4 linked regions of the Callithrix jacchus genome follow. The protein of the gene in region 3 binds, or shares a complex with, the protein of the main gene of each other region. Links are inferred from orthologs where the notes say so. Each region holds a gene or a part of one and is shown on either strand. Other genes may lie near its edges.

What was found.
Region 1: TAF1B (region 3) and UBTF share a complex: the UniProt entries of both Homo sapiens proteins name them as parts of the pol I pre-initiation complex. The link is inferred for Callithrix jacchus from reciprocal best matches to the Homo sapiens genes TAF1B and UBTF.
Region 2: TAF1B (region 3) and POLR1H share a complex: the UniProt entries of both Homo sapiens proteins name them as parts of the pol I pre-initiation complex. The link is inferred for Callithrix jacchus from reciprocal best matches to the Homo sapiens genes TAF1B and POLR1H.
Region 4: TAF1B (region 3) and TAF1D share a complex: the UniProt entries of both Homo sapiens proteins name them as parts of the transcription factor SL1/TIF-IB complex. The link is inferred for Callithrix jacchus from reciprocal best matches to the Homo sapiens genes TAF1B and TAF1D.

What each region holds. Positions count from the first base shown.
Region 1 is NC_133506.1:71,070,974-71,074,920, forward strand, and holds the start of UBTF (nucleolar transcription factor 1), read right to left. Parts: upstream 2,801-3,947; 5' UTR 2,667-2,800; intron 2,299-2,666; exon of another isoform or gene 2,184-2,298; intron 1,940-2,183; 5' UTR 1,905-1,939; intron 955-1,904; exon of another isoform or gene 837-954; intron 572-836; exon of another isoform or gene 431-571; intron 1-430. UniProt on the Homo sapiens protein: Recognizes the ribosomal RNA gene promoter and activates transcription mediated by RNA polymerase I (Pol I) through cooperative interactions with the transcription factor SL1/TIF-IB complex.
Region 2 is NC_133505.1:34,798,474-34,802,718, reverse strand, and holds the start of POLR1H (DNA-directed RNA polymerase I subunit RPA12), read right to left. Parts: upstream 2,801-4,245; 5' UTR 2,758-2,800; coding exon 2,687-2,757; exon of another isoform or gene 2,521-2,686; coding exon 2,366-2,520; exon of another isoform or gene 2,288-2,365; intron 2,129-2,287; coding exon 2,028-2,128; intron 1,822-2,027; coding exon 1,712-1,821; intron 1-1,711. UniProt on the Homo sapiens protein: Core component of RNA polymerase I (Pol I), a DNA-dependent RNA polymerase which synthesizes ribosomal RNA precursors using the four ribonucleoside triphosphates as substrates. Can mediate Pol I proofreading of the nascent RNA transcript.
Region 3 is NC_133515.1:105,121,621-105,125,120, forward strand, and holds part of TAF1B (TATA box-binding protein-associated factor RNA polymerase I subunit B), read right to left. Parts: intron 2,385-3,500; coding exon 2,287-2,384; intron 204-2,286; coding exon 108-203; intron 1-107. UniProt on the Homo sapiens protein: Component of RNA polymerase I core factor complex that acts as a GTF2B/TFIIB-like factor and plays a key role in multiple steps during transcription initiation such as pre-initiation complex (PIC) assembly and postpolymerase recruitment events in polymerase I (Pol I) transcription.
Region 4 is NC_133511.1:46,622,432-46,626,435, reverse strand, and holds the start of TAF1D (TATA box-binding protein-associated factor RNA polymerase I subunit D), read right to left. Parts: upstream 2,801-4,004; 5' UTR 2,701-2,800; exon of another isoform or gene 2,590-2,700; intron 1,681-2,589; 5' UTR 1,576-1,680; intron 610-1,575; 5' UTR 585-609; coding exon 517-584; intron 1-516. UniProt on the Homo sapiens protein: Component of the transcription factor SL1/TIF-IB complex, which is involved in the assembly of the PIC (preinitiation complex) during RNA polymerase I-dependent transcription.

The DNA.
Region 1 (3,947 bases), on a different chromosome or scaffold from region 3:
GCCCACGCGAGAGCCTGCTCCCAGCTCCCGCGTGCAGCAAGCGCCCGCCCTCCGCCCTCCTTCCCCAACCCTGGCCAAAAAAAACTCCTCCTCCTCTGAGCGCCCGCCCCGGGGAGGCCCCAGGCTGGAGGGCGGGGGAGGAGGAAGGGCGGGTAAAGGGCGCGCGCGACCACGGAAGCGGGCACGCGCCCCAGTCTCCTCCTCTCGCCTCCCCCCGGCCGGTTCCCCCCGCCTCCGCAACCCGGCGGGGACCCGGACGCAGCGCAGCCGCCGCCAGCCCCGGAGCGCAACGGCCGCACCGCCCCCGGGGACCGGATTCGGATTCCCACCGCTCCCCCCTCCCGGGCTCCCATCGCCTTCCCCGCCCGCTCAGGCGGGCGAGCAGCTGGAGAGAAGCGGCCTAGCCTGCCCCCCGCCCCGAGCCACCTACCCCGGCCAGAGGCGCCGCCGCCGCCCAGCCACCCCGACTCGCACGGAGGAGCCCGGCGCAGAGGCGCGACCGCGGCGGGAACCGCCGCCTCCTCCCCCGAGCCTGCGGCCCAGCCCCGCCGGCGCCCCCGCCCTGGCCTCCGGGGAGCCGAGCCAAGCAGAGGGCGGGAGGACGGCGGCCGGGAGGCGGGGGCGCAGCGCTCACCGGCCCCGCCGCCCCCTCCGGCGGCCGGGGAGAACTGCGCCTGCCGGCTCCGAGAAGCGCGGGCTCCTCCGCCAGCGGCCAGGTCTCGGCTCGGGCCACGCTTCCTGCCCTCCCCTCCCCCGGCTTTCGGCGTCCTCCCCAGTGCCCTGGTCTGCTCGCGCCCGGTCCCCTGCTCCGGTTCCCAGCCGGGCGCCCACCGCACCCTGCGGTTCGCTCCCTGCCGTCAGGCCCCGACCCTAGCGCGCGTCCTCAGCCGCCTCGGTTACCCGGCGCAGAGCGGCCTCCGGGCTTCCCGCTCCGGCGGCTCCCTCCCCGGCTCTGAGCGGCGGCGCCCTCCCCCGCTCGGCCGGGCACAGCCGCAGCTCCCTCCCGCGGCGGCAGCGGCTCCTCCTCCGGGCGAGGCGGCGGCGCTGGGGCGGCGGCTGCTGCTGCTGTGGCTGTGGCGGCGGCTGTGGCTGCTGCCTGCTGCTCCTCGCGGCGAAAAGCACAAAGCACAGCGCCCTCCGCCTGCAGGCAGCCCGCCCGCCGCCGGCCCCGGCCTCAGCTCGCACACCCCCCGCCGCCGCCGCAGCCTCAGCCGCCGGAGCGGGGAGGAGGAGGGAGAAGGGAGGAGGAGGAGCGGGAGGGGGGGCGGGAGAAGCGGGGCAGCGAGCGCGTCCTTCCCCGTAGAGCGCACACCGACCCCCGGGGAGCGAGCGCCAGCCCGCCCGCCTCGCCGGCTCCGCTCCCTCCCACAGCCTGCCCGGGCGGGCTCCGCGGGGGGCAGCTGGGAGGAGGGGCGGGAGCTGGGGGGACCCGGGCGGCCGAGGCGGAGGGAAGGAAGGAGGGGAGGGGGGTGGTGGTGGTGGTGGCGGCGGCGGCGGCGGCGGCTGCTGCTGCTGCCGCCGGGCGGGGGGGGGGGCCGGGGCAGGGAGACACGCAGCCGCCCGGATGGCGGCGGAGCTCGGAGCCGGGGCGGGCGGGCGCCGAGAGCGACCTCGCCAGACCCGCGGGGGAACTAACAGGCTCCTCCGGCACTAGAGGGAGGGCCGAGGTGCGGCGGCGGAGAGGGTGCCCAAAGGGGCCCCCGGCGGCTGGAGAGGCTCGGGGGGCGCCCACAGCTCTGCTCCGGAGCTCTCCCCCAAGTCCTCCCAGCTCAGACTAGGGCTTCCAGGCCAGCTTTTTCCCGCCTCCCGGAGCGAGCGGTCCGCGCACACCCTCATCCCCCAGAGCGTGGTCACTGGCTTGGGGCGCACGCACGCCGATCGCGGCGCCCGGCTTCAGTGCCTACCTTGCGGTCCTCACTGCCGAACGGCACATACGAAACTTAAAAAAAAAAAAAAACAAAAAACTAAAACCTCTGCATTAAAAAAAAAAAAAATCCCCATTGCTCTTTACACCCCGGAAACGGCGAAGGAACGACGGGCTTCGGCGGAGAAGCCGCTCTGGGAGCCGGTTCAATCCAGCCCGGCATGGCTCCCCAGGCCTGCCCGGGCGCATGGAGATCGGCGCCACCGCCACTCGTAGCGACCCCTCTCCCCCGAAATCCGCGGCGCCCGGGCTCACTTACCGAGCGTGTGGATGGGAGCGCGGGCTGGGGGCACCTGGGGGCGCGGCGGTCCGAATAGCCGAGCCGCAGCTCCGCTGCAGCCGACGCCGGGGCAGCAAGTCGCCAGACAAAGCCCGAGATGGCGAAGCGGAGCGACGGCTAATGGCGAGCCCCACGCGCCGCGCTCCGCCCGCCCCGCTCCGCCCGCCCGCCCGCCCGCCTCGGCGCAGCGCAGCGCCGCTCCAAGCGCTTGCCCGTCAGAGCCGCCTCGGCGCCGCCGCCTCCCGGGCCACGGCGGCCTCGCCTGGCCCCTCCGCCTCCTCCGGGCTGCTCAGCCTCACCCCTTCCCTCCCACTGCTCTAGGGGTTGCACAGAAAATTTTTTTTTTTTTTTTTTAAGAAAAATGCTTTTTTTCCTTTCCTTTTTTTTTTTTTTTTTTTTTTCTTTTTTGCAGGGCGGGCGTGTTGAGACTTTTGGATCTTTCTGCCCCCAGCTCGCACTCACCTGCGGAGCCGCCGGGAGGGCTAGTAGTGGGGGGCGCACGGAGCTGGAGCCGGCGAGCGCGGCTTGAAAGCCAGCCAAGCTCTGCAGCGCCCGACCCGGGCGTGTACGCCGCCGCCAGTCCCCGCAGAGAAATCGTCCTCCTACCCCCGCCTCCATCGCTCTGCGTTTCTCTTCCAATCAGCCGGTCGCTTGGTGGCTCCTCCATTCTCCGGCCAAGCCCAGCTGCCTAGAGCGAGCTCCACTCCTCCATCTGTTCGCCCGGCTCCTCGCTCCCCTGCCGGGGCTGGCGAGACGGCTTGAGGCCGGAGGGGGATTTGCGAGAAAACCTGCCTCCTTCCCGCTCCCATTGCTCCATCCCCGCTGCTTCCTGCCTCCTGCTTCTCTCTCCTGCGTCTTTCCAACTCTCTCCCATGTCGCCACTGGTGTGTGTCTGAGTGTGTGCGCGTTTTTTTTTTTTTTATTGCTCTTTGCTTTTGCAACCCAGAAGCAAAATGGGGCGGGGGGGGGAGTTACAGGAAAAAAAAAGCGAGAAAGAAGCTCTTAGATTTGCAACACATCGGAAAACCATGGGAGCACCCGGCCTTATCCGATCTCCGTGCTCCGCGAGGGCCTTCCGGGTTTTAGGACGAGCTTCTCAATGTTCCCCTCTTCGCTGGGTTTAGGATCCGAGGAGTCCGAGCAAAAAGTTCTCTCCTTAGCTCGTAGTGAGGGGTGTCAGGGTGGGAGTTTCGGGATTTTTCAAGAAGCAGCGGCTATCCTTGCTACCCCGGCATCGGCCACTGGGCCGGGGTGGGGGAAAGAGCAAAATCCCAGTGGGTTTGTGCGAGGAATCTTCTGGGGTTGGGGCGTGGAGTAGTCGGAACCGGGAGAGACACCGCTTCGCGAATCTCCCCCTCGGTCTCTACCTCCTGTCCTCTGCCAGCTCCCCCTTTAATTTTTTTCCTCTCCTTTAATCTAATTTCTTCCAACTCCACCTTTGTTGTTACCGGCGTCACGCCCCGACCAGCCAATCCCCGCCACGCAATCAGTTTGTCAAAAAGGTTCGGCCAGCCCTGGGAAAGCAGGCCGCAGGCGCTGCCCCCCGGCGGCGGCGGGCAGCCGCGAGGGGAGCTCGGCACCCCGGCCTCACTGCCCGGGCGGCAGCGGGGCAACCGCCACCGAGACTTCCCCCGGTTCACTATCCTGCAGGCGGGTGATGAAAAGCCTGGACGGGGTCCACCGCCCACCCTTGCACTGCCATGGCCGTGGTTGTCTGTCTTTGCCTCCCCTTCTCAGAGGAAA
Region 2 (4,245 bases), on a different chromosome or scaffold from region 3:
AAAAAAAATCTTTTTTTTTTTTTTTTTTTGGTAAAATGACAACCAGCGATAGGAAAAAATACTCTTAAAAGATATATCTGACTGTGAATATTTTTAATCCATTGATGAGATGGTGAGAAAGTAAAGGCAAACTTCACACTGGTAAAAGTTATGCAAAACCAGAAATCCAGACAGTGAAAACTGAAGTCCCAATGAAACGTGACACTATGGTGCCCTTAATACTGTTATGACGGTCACTGAAAGCATAGGAAATGAGGGACAAAATGTAAAAGGTCTGATAGGAGATTCCCTGCATAAATTTGGGAACTGCAAAGAGCTGCCCTTTTTTGTAAAAGTGAACAAGAAAAGAAAAAATTCAACTCTATAGAAGGGGAATTTGTCTTAGTAGGCAGGAGAGAAAACTCTCTCCTGAGAATTTCTAACCATAAGCTAACCCTTACGTGGATTTGCAGCTCAAATTCATACTATCTGTCTGCTCCAAAAAACATGAAGCCAAGAATTTATTTAAAGTAATTCCAGCTTGATAGTGCTTCAAGGAAAAGAAATGCAAATGCTGAGAATACAGCACTCACTCAAGGTCTCAAAGAATTCCTACAGTTCAAGTTCTAAAAAACTCAAATTTATAGACAAAATCACAAAACAGAAAAAAGGCACCATGAGAGAGCAGAAACAAAAGACAGCAGCATCAGAAGACAAAATCCATGGATATCAGAATTATGAGACATAGACTATAATAACCATAATTAATATTTTAAATATATAAAGAATGAACAATTTAAAATATGATTAAGGAACTGAAAATTATTTAAAAATTGAGGAGATTTGAAAAGTAAATAGAATTCAAAGTAATAGCAATAATAAAAAATAATATTTAAAATAAACTGAAGACAGAATTAGTGACATGGAAGAGGGACCTGAAGAAATTACCCAGAAGGTGGCATAAAGAGAAAAGCGATTGAAATATGAAAAGAGGGTGAGAGAAATGGAGGACAAAAGAGACACCTCTCTTCTTGTAACTAATTAGAGGTCCAGAATGTGAGGACTGGGAACATGGGGGAAAGGCAATATTAAATGAGATGATAGCTGATAATTTTCCAAGGCTGATTAAAAAAAAAAAAAATTCACTCTCAGTTTCAGAAAGTGCAACAAATCCCAAACGGAATTTTTAAAAAATCACATTTTTATATACTGTAGTGACTGAAGGACACCAAAGACAAAGATGATGTCTTAAAATAATTCAGAAAGCCCATGTTCCCTAAATCGTGCGTGACTAATTTTCTCCAATGTAAAGCTACCTTGACTGCAGTTGAAGACTGCAGTATAAGATGCCGACCACTAAACAATACCTGCTTCTTATGTTTTTTGTTTGTTTGTTTTTTCATTTCCTTTTATATATCCTAAAAGTAGGTCAGACAGGGTAGCTCATGCCTGTAATCCCAGCCCTTTGGGAGGCTGAGGTGGGTGGATCGCTTGAGCTCAGGAGTTCAAGACCAGCCTGGGAAACACAGAGAAATCCCATCTCTACTAAAAAAAAAAGAAAAAAGTGTAATAAAAAAAATAAAAAAAAAAAACCAACCACAAATGTTCTTATTACCAGAACTGCACAGAAATGGGACGAAAGGAAATGGTGGTTTAGAACAACAACAACAGAATCACTGGATTTGTTTAGTTAGCAAACAGACTGAGCAGAGGGAGGGGAAGGGATGCCCACTTGCAGTTGGTACAGGTGTAGAAGACAGTTTGCCCTTCGTCTGCTGAACGCATCTGTCTGGTGTGGTAAGCCATTCCTTCATGACCACATCGAGAGCAGCGCCTGTCAACCTGGGAAGAAACCGGTGGGTTAGGGAGGCCAGTTCATATCCCCTCACTTCCCACAGGAATCAGGCGATCACTCCTCTCAAACATGGATGCTTTACATCTCTTTTCCCTCTTGGACTTGGGCACACAACTCTCCAGATCTCTGCAATCATTCCTCCGTTTCTTTCCTACCCACCTTATGGAGCCAGTCATTGAGCTCATTAACTTACCACAGGTCCCTGGAACTCAGGCCCTTCCTCCACCGACACAGGCATGGCTGTCCCCAGCTGGTGGAACACAACTGAAGTCTTCACAACCTTCCCCTCAAAGTCTGCACAGGCAAGTAAGAACTGGTTATGGAGACAACCAGAGGGAGCTGACACCGGAAACCTCCCCTTTCCCCTGACTGGTTAGGCCAGGAAGCCCTATATCCTTTCCTTCATTTTTCATCTCGAGACCAAATGTACAATTGCCTGATCTCCTGCTCTAGGGTCCCCTGCCGATCTTGAGGTCCCCAAGTTTCCGACCCTGGACCCTCCGCCAGGACCACTGCGTACAAGCCTCTCACCCCGAACGTTGATGTTGAAGCCACAGCGAGTACAGGTAACCGTATCCTGAGCCCCTGGCAGAGGCAGGACCGAGCCGCACTCTGAACAGAAATCCAAGTCCGACTGAAAGCTGGAGCAAGTGCTGGCTAGGTCCATGACGCATATGCGGTCAGGCCTGAAGAGGGAGTTAGAAGTTATATTAACAAAAAGAGAGGAATCCCCCCAACACAGAGGTCATAACAGTTCTGTCCCAGTACCTGGGAGTATATAACCCGAGCTCTCCTCCCACGCACGCCTCCTGCCTCTGTGACCAGGGAGCTGAAACGCCCGGAATGGCTTACCAGCTAGCGTCGGGTAGTAAAGGACTTGCAACCCTTTCCTGGGGCCGGCGAGAGGAGCGAGCCAACTCCATGGGCTAGAGCGGCAGCTCTACGCCCGCCGCTCAGCGGCGAGCTAGAGCCGGCTAGAGCGTCACGCATTCGGGCTGACAATTGGTTGTGACGTCATAAATAATTGCGAACCTTGTCTCGGGAGCCTTAGAGATGGAGCCTAACCTCTCCGAAGGGAGTTTGCGGCTTCACTTTCACCCTAGTGCTGAGACGTTGAGCACAAAATTCGTAGCCAATGCTGCGCTTCCAGCAAATTTTCCCACCAGTACCCAATCCTCGGATATTTATTCTTTGTCTCACATCCTACAGGAACCGAGTCCCGGGAGATATCCCCCTGAAAACTGTATTTTGCTGAATACTGATTTCTTTGGATTAGAGAACTACAACTATCCCTGATCCTGAGCAGGTTTTTCCCTTTTGCGGCTGCAGAGTAGTTAAAAAGAAAGCTAAGTGTTCTGGGACGTACAGTTTTAGTGTTCCTTGGGTCCCGCTGGAGAACGTGGGCTTTCAGCAGAGCGCAACTAGCCTTGTGTGCTTTGGGAACAGTTCGCCGCTTGTAAGGGGTAAGTCGGATTCTTGAGGGACCGCAAGTGGTGAGGGTGAAGTCAGGAGGTACAGGGTCCAGCCCTACAGGGTTCTGTGAGCCCCTCTCTGTTGGTGTGGAGAAAAGAAACCAGAAATAAAAGACATAAGACACAGAGATAGAAAGTTTGGGTGGGGTGGCGTGGGGTGGGGGGGGTTCACTGCCAGCCAGATCGCGGAGTCCGGCAGTGGCCCCGGTCGTGTCTGCGCATTCTGACTTTTTTTGAGTACAAAGCTGAGGGCAGGGTAAGTAGGTGTGGCATTGGTGGTTGGTGGTCAGCAACCAGGGGAAAGGTAGATGGGGCGTAGCAGTGATAGGGTCAAGTACATCACATATCATACAGGTACGGACCCAGGAATTTCTAGGAGCCGGGATGAGGCAAGGAGCCTAATGCGTTAGCACTTTTCCATACTTGTTAAGAAAGAACAAAGACATTAAGTTTATATTACTCTTACTGATTATCTCTTCTAAGAAAATAGGAACCTGGTACAGAAGTAGGACATGAGAGTGGACATGGAATGTGACCACTGAAGCACAGCATCACATAGAGACAAATAAGCCCCCGGATGCCTGTGGGTCTACCTGACAGCTGTCAGGCCTAAGGCAAGAGATTGGAGGAGTGGAGTTTTCGCTTAACTCCCCCGGTGAATGAGACGTCTCAGCCAGCTTTGGACGCCTCCTTCCCTAGCTGGCTCAACAGCGGGCATTTTCTCAGTGCTGACGCGGTAGCACAGCAGAGGCGGCCCTAGTCGCCCTTATGCAGGCATAGCTGCTGTAAAGCGTCTTGCTTTAGGGTCATTGCCCTCACAATGTCACCCCAGGTTCTCACTTTCCGGCCTGAGACCTGAGAGGCATTAGTAAAAGAATTAAGATCACCTATAAATAACTAAGATCACTTGTGAATAATTAAGCCATCACTATTTTCTCT
Region 3 (3,500 bases):
TGACAAGGATCATAATCCCAGATACTCAAACTGGTCGTGGACCCATCTTCATCTCTACATCTCACTAGACATGTCTTTTAGTCCAACTTTTCTGACGTGTGACTTACCGTAGGTTTCCTTCCAGTGGTATAAACTGGGTTCTTACAATATGCCTGCTTGCTCTTCTGAAGGTAGCGCTTCCAAAAATTATGTAAAACGTCATTCTAAGGTGGAAGGGAAATGAGTGGTGGGTGATTCAGGTTATGACGACAAATGTGCAGGCATATCTATACCACAGTTCTCTTGTACTTTACACATTAATGTACATATCAATTTCCAGGAAATGTTATATACCATATTTACAATTTGAGAACAAAATCTTCGGTGTCTATACATAGCATCTATCAAAACCTGAGTCCCATAAAATGCACATTGGGGACTGATATGTTAAACCAGTGGTTCTCGAGCTTGAGTGTGTGTCAGAATCACCTGGAGGGCTGGTTCAGGCTTCCATCTAAATGTCTTCCTACCTGCTTTTCCTTAAAAAGAATTATAGTAGGCCAGGAGCAGTGGCTCACGCCTGTAATCCTTTCGGAGGCCAAGGCAGGCAGATCACAAGGTCTGAAGATTGAGACCATCCTGGCCAACATGGTGAACCCTGTCTCAACTAAAATACAAAAAATTAGTCAGGCATAGTGGTGCACACCTGTAGTCCCAGCTACTCAGGAGGCTGAGGCAGGGGAATCGCTTGAACCAGGAGGCAGAGATTGCAGTGAGCCAAGATCGCATTACTGCACTCCAGCCTGGGACAGAGCAAGACTCCATCTCACAAAAAAAAAAAAAAAAAAAAAAAAAAAAGAATTATACTATCATCATAGTATCAGGTACCTGAGAAACACAGAAAAAAATCCTTCTTAATTTTAGATTTTAGAGAAGGAAAGAGCATGAAAATCACCTAGCTGAGTCCTTTTCTTTTGCATATTAAGTAAATTAAGGATCAGAGTGGTTGTTCTGTTTTGGCTTGCCCCAACCACCGGTTTGAACAGCAAAGGCTCCTTCCTCTACGAATATTTCCTTGGTGACTGCAGACCACATTGATCTTTCTCTGTTCTCTTTTTGCCTTTAATATCACTTATGAGTAATATCACTTATAAGTGAGGTGGTGGCTCATACCTGTAATCCTAGCACTTTGGGAGGCCGAAGCAGGCAGACTGCCTAAACTCAGGAGTTTAAGACCAGCCTGGGTAACATGGTGAAACCCTGTCTCTACTAAAATACAAAAAATTAGCAGGGCGTAGTGGCATAAGCCTATAGTCCCCAGCTACTCAGGAGGCTGAGGCAGGAGAACTGCTCGAACGTGGGAGGCGGAGGTTGCAGTGAACCAAGATCATGCCACTGCACTCCAGTCTAGGTGACAAAGCAAGACTCCATATCTTAAAAAAAATCACTTGTGTATATCACCATATAAATTCATGTCTACTCATTTCACATATGCATAAATCCCTCTCCCCAACTAGGCTGGATATCTCAACAGTTGGTTTCCAATGAAGAATACGAAGCAAGTGAACAACTTGTTGCTAAAAAACTGGCTTTTTAAAGCATTCCCGAAATGGCTTGTACTAGATGAAGGAATATGAAATTCAAGTAACTACAGAAATACTATGTTGCTCCAGGGAGGCAGCAAAGTCAAAGTGTGGTTGGTCCCTGCACTGGAAGCATCGGTGTCCCTTGAGAACTCATTAGAAATGCACATTCTTAGGCCCTACTTCTGACCTACTAACTTAGAAATTCTGGGGCTAAGGTCCAGTGACTGGTGCTTTATGAAGCCCCCCAGGTGATTGTGAGCACACTCAGGTGAACCACTGGTTTAACATATCACTGTCCAAAGCACGTTCTCTGGAACTCGAGTCCTGACAGACATTATGTACATACACCAAACAATTTTGTTCTCAAATTGTGAACACCACACAGGACGTTCCCTGGAAATTAAACAAGCACATTAACACAAAAAAGGCACTAATAAACCCCCAAAGTTATTTGAGTTTTACTTTATTTAACCTGTTGTTTCCCAAGTACCTGAAGACTAAAACCTTTACATTTTTCTTTCAGATGAACTGCTTATTTACATCCTGTAGAACACACTTCCAGAATTGCTGGCCTACTGAAAGGATTAAAGCAAAAACATCAGAAAAAGTATTCTTCCAGCAGCCCTAGTATTATTACTGATTTCTCCTTCGTTCCACTCTAAATCTTACTGTTCTTTAAGAATAGTATGTAAAATTAGCATCGAGTCACAAATGTATTTACCTTTAACTCTGGGCCTACTCCAAGGTTCTTTAAGGCTTCTGCTTGTTGATAAAGAATGTGCTGGAAACCTTCACACACATACCAATCCCAGCCTTTTTCTAAATGACAAATAGCACATTTTAGCATTTGCAATCCTAATTTACTAAGTCTAATGCTACTACAGTTACAATTTGTGTTTTACACATTATGACTTGAATTTTTCCTTTTTTTTTAAATTAACCCACAACTTAGCAGCTTAGTGACTTGAAATTTTTGTACCATTGAAAAAGGTTTCCATTCTTATAGTCTCTTGTTTACAACCTAGCAAATGTGTAACCAAATGTTGAAACTAAATATTTTATATAATTTCAGATTTCAAATGTTTTCCATTATATATATTTTTTCTGAAATACTAACCTAAAGGTAAAAAAATGAATAGTCACCATGTTAAAAAAAGTGAAACAAGTTTTAAAAATGTGTATTTTCCTGAACGATGCCCAGCAAAATCCTAAATAAAAATACTCAGTCACCGCTTCCACTACTTTTCTGTTGCATCTCACAAGGGAAGAGTGAACTTGTAATGAATGAATGAATGAATGTCAAGATCTCATGATACAGGAGTGTAGAAATGACAATAAGAACGTTCAAAGAAAATAAACTGCTCAGTGGCATTTTGCTTTTTCTGAAATGGTTCTAGGTTATAAGGAGAAAATTAAAGCAAGGTACTAATACTGATCTCAGCCCAGTGCCAAGTGTATGCTGGGTATTTCAAGTGGGTTATTTTCTTGAATACTCAAAAGCACCCTAGGAGAGATTGTGAAGAAACCTGCCACCACAACAGACAGGGTTACATGTTTAACGACAACTACCAGCTGAAGGAAAAGTCTGTGAAGACCCTTATGTTTTACCCCTCACCACTGGAAAAATACTGTAACTCTTCCAAAAGCTTGTTATCAGTCCTTTTTACATGGAGCTTCTGAGGTCTGTTACTGACTTCAAGATTTCTTCTCTGCAGAATGCCAGAGGATTCAACTCTTCTCCCTTACCTGAATGTCACAAAGTCTCCCCATCCCTGCTGAATGACCCAATTCTTTCCCAAGAAGGGTCTCAGGTTGTAAGAGTCTAATAGAAAAGCCAATAATTTTGATGGGTATATAAGTAAAGGAGGTTTAAACTCTTCAAGCTATATGCATATACTCCCTCTTCTTCTTGCATACTGTTCTTAGAAACTGATA
Region 4 (4,004 bases), on a different chromosome or scaffold from region 3:
CGAGATCGCACCATTGCACTCCAGCCTGGGTAACAAGAACGAAGCTCCATCTCAAAAAAAAATCATGTATCTTTCAAGATAATGTATGAGCTCAACCAAGACTGTATGATTCACTGCTAAAAACGCCTGAGTAAAAGAGAGCCTGCCAAAAATGAAAAAAAAAAAAAGATAAAACGAAAATAAAAAACAAAAAAAATACAAAAAAACACAGCCTGCCATACAAAAACAGGATGATGTAGTCCAGAAGAGACCCAAAGAATAAACTTTTTCTCTAAGAATGTGTCCCATTAGAATATATTCATTTTTTAAATTAAAATTATTTGCAATAGTATTATATCAATCTATATAAACTAGATAAACATGGAAGGTCAGTGAAATCTGGTTTTCCTTCTTTCCCAATTCCCGAAAATTATCTTCACTGTCATTCATTATATATAATAATTTAGTTTCTCAAAGTAATTCAGATATAATAAATATGACTGGATCTACTCAGTTCTCCAGTAAAAACCCACTTACCTTTGATTTGCAGGTTCCATAGCATCAGATGTCACATAGTCAAGAGAATCGATTCCTGATTTATCCATCAGTTGTTCTTTGTTTTAAAGTTTTCTGAAATTGTGAAATTTAGTAAATGTGACAAAGCTTCCCTAAATATTGACACGGTATCTACTATAATGTTCAACACAGTCAGACTATGCCATTCATTTTGGACAAAATCATTTACCAGGCTTAAGCTGCTTATCCACTTCAGATCAATTTCTATATAAAAAAAAAATCCAGAAATTCTATTTCCAGATTTTCAGTTTTTACCCTCTAAATCTATTCAATGAAACAAGATTCCAAAAAAGACAAGGTGGACAAAAGCCTCTTTCAATATGAAGTTTTATCATTAGCCACATATTAACATATAATTACCAACACAGTATTAATGTACAATTAAAAGCCATTTTCCTACATCGAAGGGGAATTGCTAAGGCAAAATGTGCCCTATATAATAAACCAGGAAAACGATCTCCATTCAATAGACCATTTTAAACTCCTGATCAAATTCAATAGACCATTTTAAATTCTAAGATTCCTCATTCATTCCTAGATTCATTTAAGTAACTTAATTTCGTCATACTGTATCTTTGCCATTATTGGTGGAAACTGACAAATTCTGAATTCTCAACCTTTTTCGATAAACTATCATAATTCTGTCTCTTCATCTCCATAGTAGAGTATACAACATACAAAAAAAAAAAAAGGCAACATACAAAAAAAAGAAAACGATTCCTTCTTGTAAGAAAAACAGGCTGGTCAGGATGGCTCATGCCTGTGTAACCCAGCACTTTGGGAAGTCGAGGCGGGCGGATCACTTGAACCCAGGAGCTCAAGACCAACAAGACCCAGTCTCTACAAAAAATACAAAAATTAGCCATGTTGATGGTACGCGCCTATGGTCCCAATAAGGAGGCTGAGGTATTGAGGTAGGTCGATTACCTGAGCCTGGGAGATGGAGGTTGTTTGTAGTGGGCCTCAGCAACACAAGGAGCCCCTGTCTCTATAAAAAAAAAAAATTCTTAAAATACTGGCCTGGTGTGGTGGCCTGTGGCTGTGCTCCCAGCCATGCCGGAGGATCGCTTTGCAGTGAGCCGAGATTGCACCAGTGCACTCCAGCCTGGACGACAGAGCAAGACCCTATCTCAAAAAAAAAAAAAAAAAAAATGGGGGAAAAAAATAGGCTTGGCAACAAAAATAAACAATAAAGGTAACTACTTATTTCACTACTGTCTTAGCCTTAGTCATTCTCTTGTTTCATTCCGTAGTTTCTTAGGACCCGACATGAGTCACTACATATAAATCCTAGGATAAACTAGCAAAATATTTCAAATATAGGAAAACGATAAGGTCACCAAGAGCTCAGATTTCTTAAATGCCCAACGGACCCCTGTGGTAATTTCCTGTTAGAACATCTTGTAGTTTTAGTTTCTTAAGCACAAGATTCTACGAAGTCATTAAGTATCGAATGCTCAAAAACCGAATTCAATAATTTGGTCCCATGCATTAATGGTATACCTGCTTTTTTTTTTTTTTAAATAGGGATTATCAAAAGAAAGCTAGCTCAATAATCACTTTCTCTAAGTTTTTCGGAACACATCCTACTTAGGTGTCGATGCCTCTGCCGGGATTTAGCGATTCCTAAGAGGTCTCGTGGTCAGAGAGCGGCGCTTTACCCGGAGCTATCACCGTTATCACCAGCGCGTCTCTCCCCGCAGCGCCTTACCTCAAGGAAACCGGCACTAGTAATGGCTGTCTCCCATATATGAAGGTTAAATCATTTAAACCACGTAAGGAAGTTAAACTCGTTCACAACACATTTTAACACCTCCATCTCAAGATATAATGAAGGCCGCCCACACTACAGTTGCGTTTGTGTGGGCCTCCAGCCGCTTGGCGCTGAGGGGCCTGAGCTGCGAACCCTTCACCCTCTCCGCCCTACCTCCGAGACTCGATCCTCCGGACCAACGCTGGGGCCCCGAAAAAACCCATATCTGTAACGCCTCACCCGGCTGCCAGGGCCGGACGGCCTTGCCCACGTCTACCTACCCAAAACCGCCTCACGCCGGCCCTAACTGCGCACTTGGTGACTGTAACCCAGGCTTCTGGCCAAAAACCCGCGACTGGCCTGCTGCGTGAGTCCTGAAGACCTGCACTCACCAATATCCCGACCTCAGTTCTCCAACTCCCGAGAACCACCTTGCGTCTTCCAACCGCGCAGAAAAAAAGGGTGAGCAATCCCCGCGGCCCAGGTAATAGCGAGGCCGAAATCTCGCGATACAACTTAGCACCCGGGAAGAAGGCGAGCGACGGAAGGAGGACAGGAAGCAGGATAGCCATTTTTCTCGCCGCGCGGGGAGGAGCGGCTAACGTAGGCGGAGCTTCAGCTCGCGTTATCTGAGGAGGCGGGGTTGGCCGAAGCGAAGATCAGGACTCTGCTCTGTTGTGGGTTTCCGTGACCGATTCGGTGAGTGGAAGAGCCAAGAACATTTCGGCAAATAACAAAAAGAAAACATGAGGACAATTAGGAGTGGGTAAGAACTGCGAGAAGCCCGGTTTGTTTCCGGTGGCTCGCATTTGCTGAGCTGTCGCCTGGCTTTCTAAACCTGGTCCCGGGTGTGTGGCGAGGGTGGCGGGTGGGATATGTGCGTGTTTGGGTCTGCTTTTGCCTTCAGACACCTTTGTGTGTTAAAATACTGGGAAGGCTCATCCTTTGACCATGACTCCAGGTGTGTAACTTTTGGGCTGGACGCCAGTGTTACTCCATAGCACGCCCACTTTTGCACCTGTTTCGTGACCTCCCCTTTCTGCCTCCCGGAAGTTGGCTAACAAGTCACAAACGAGACCAGTAGAGGATTTCTTTTTCCTGAGGTTCCTTCTGCTCCCGCTCACCCCTAGTTCCTAAACCGGTTCCTGAGTAGTTTCGTGGGTTTTTTTTCCCTCCCAAAGTAATTTTAATGAACTGGTTTGATTTTTCTGCTTTCAAATCTTTTTTTCCTATGATAAACCAGTAAAGCCATTAGAGCTGTCTAGTCTTAATTTACAGTGCACGTCATTTTAGGATTGGACGGGCCTTAAAAGTAATCTGGTCTCTTTACCCTACTTTGTGCCATAAGTTGGACAATTCCAGGTATAAAAAGTCCAATCCCTTAGGGAGTCCTCTGCATTTGATCCACAGGGTCTGTGCCGTGACTAAGCTCCAGGACTGGTATGACATGTCACTCACTGCTGTACTCAACCAAGCCTAGCTGTAACATTTAACTCACAATGCAGAATCACTGAAATGTTTCACATTTTGTCTTTCTTTCTTTCCTTTTCTCCTTCCCTCCCTTCCTCCCTCCCTCCCACGCGCGCTCTCTCTCTCTTTCTTTCTTTCCCTTTTTTTTGAGACAGAGTCTAGCTCTGTGGCCTAGGCTTGAGGGCAGTGGCGGGCTCTCAGTTCACTGCAACCCGCCTCCCCAGGT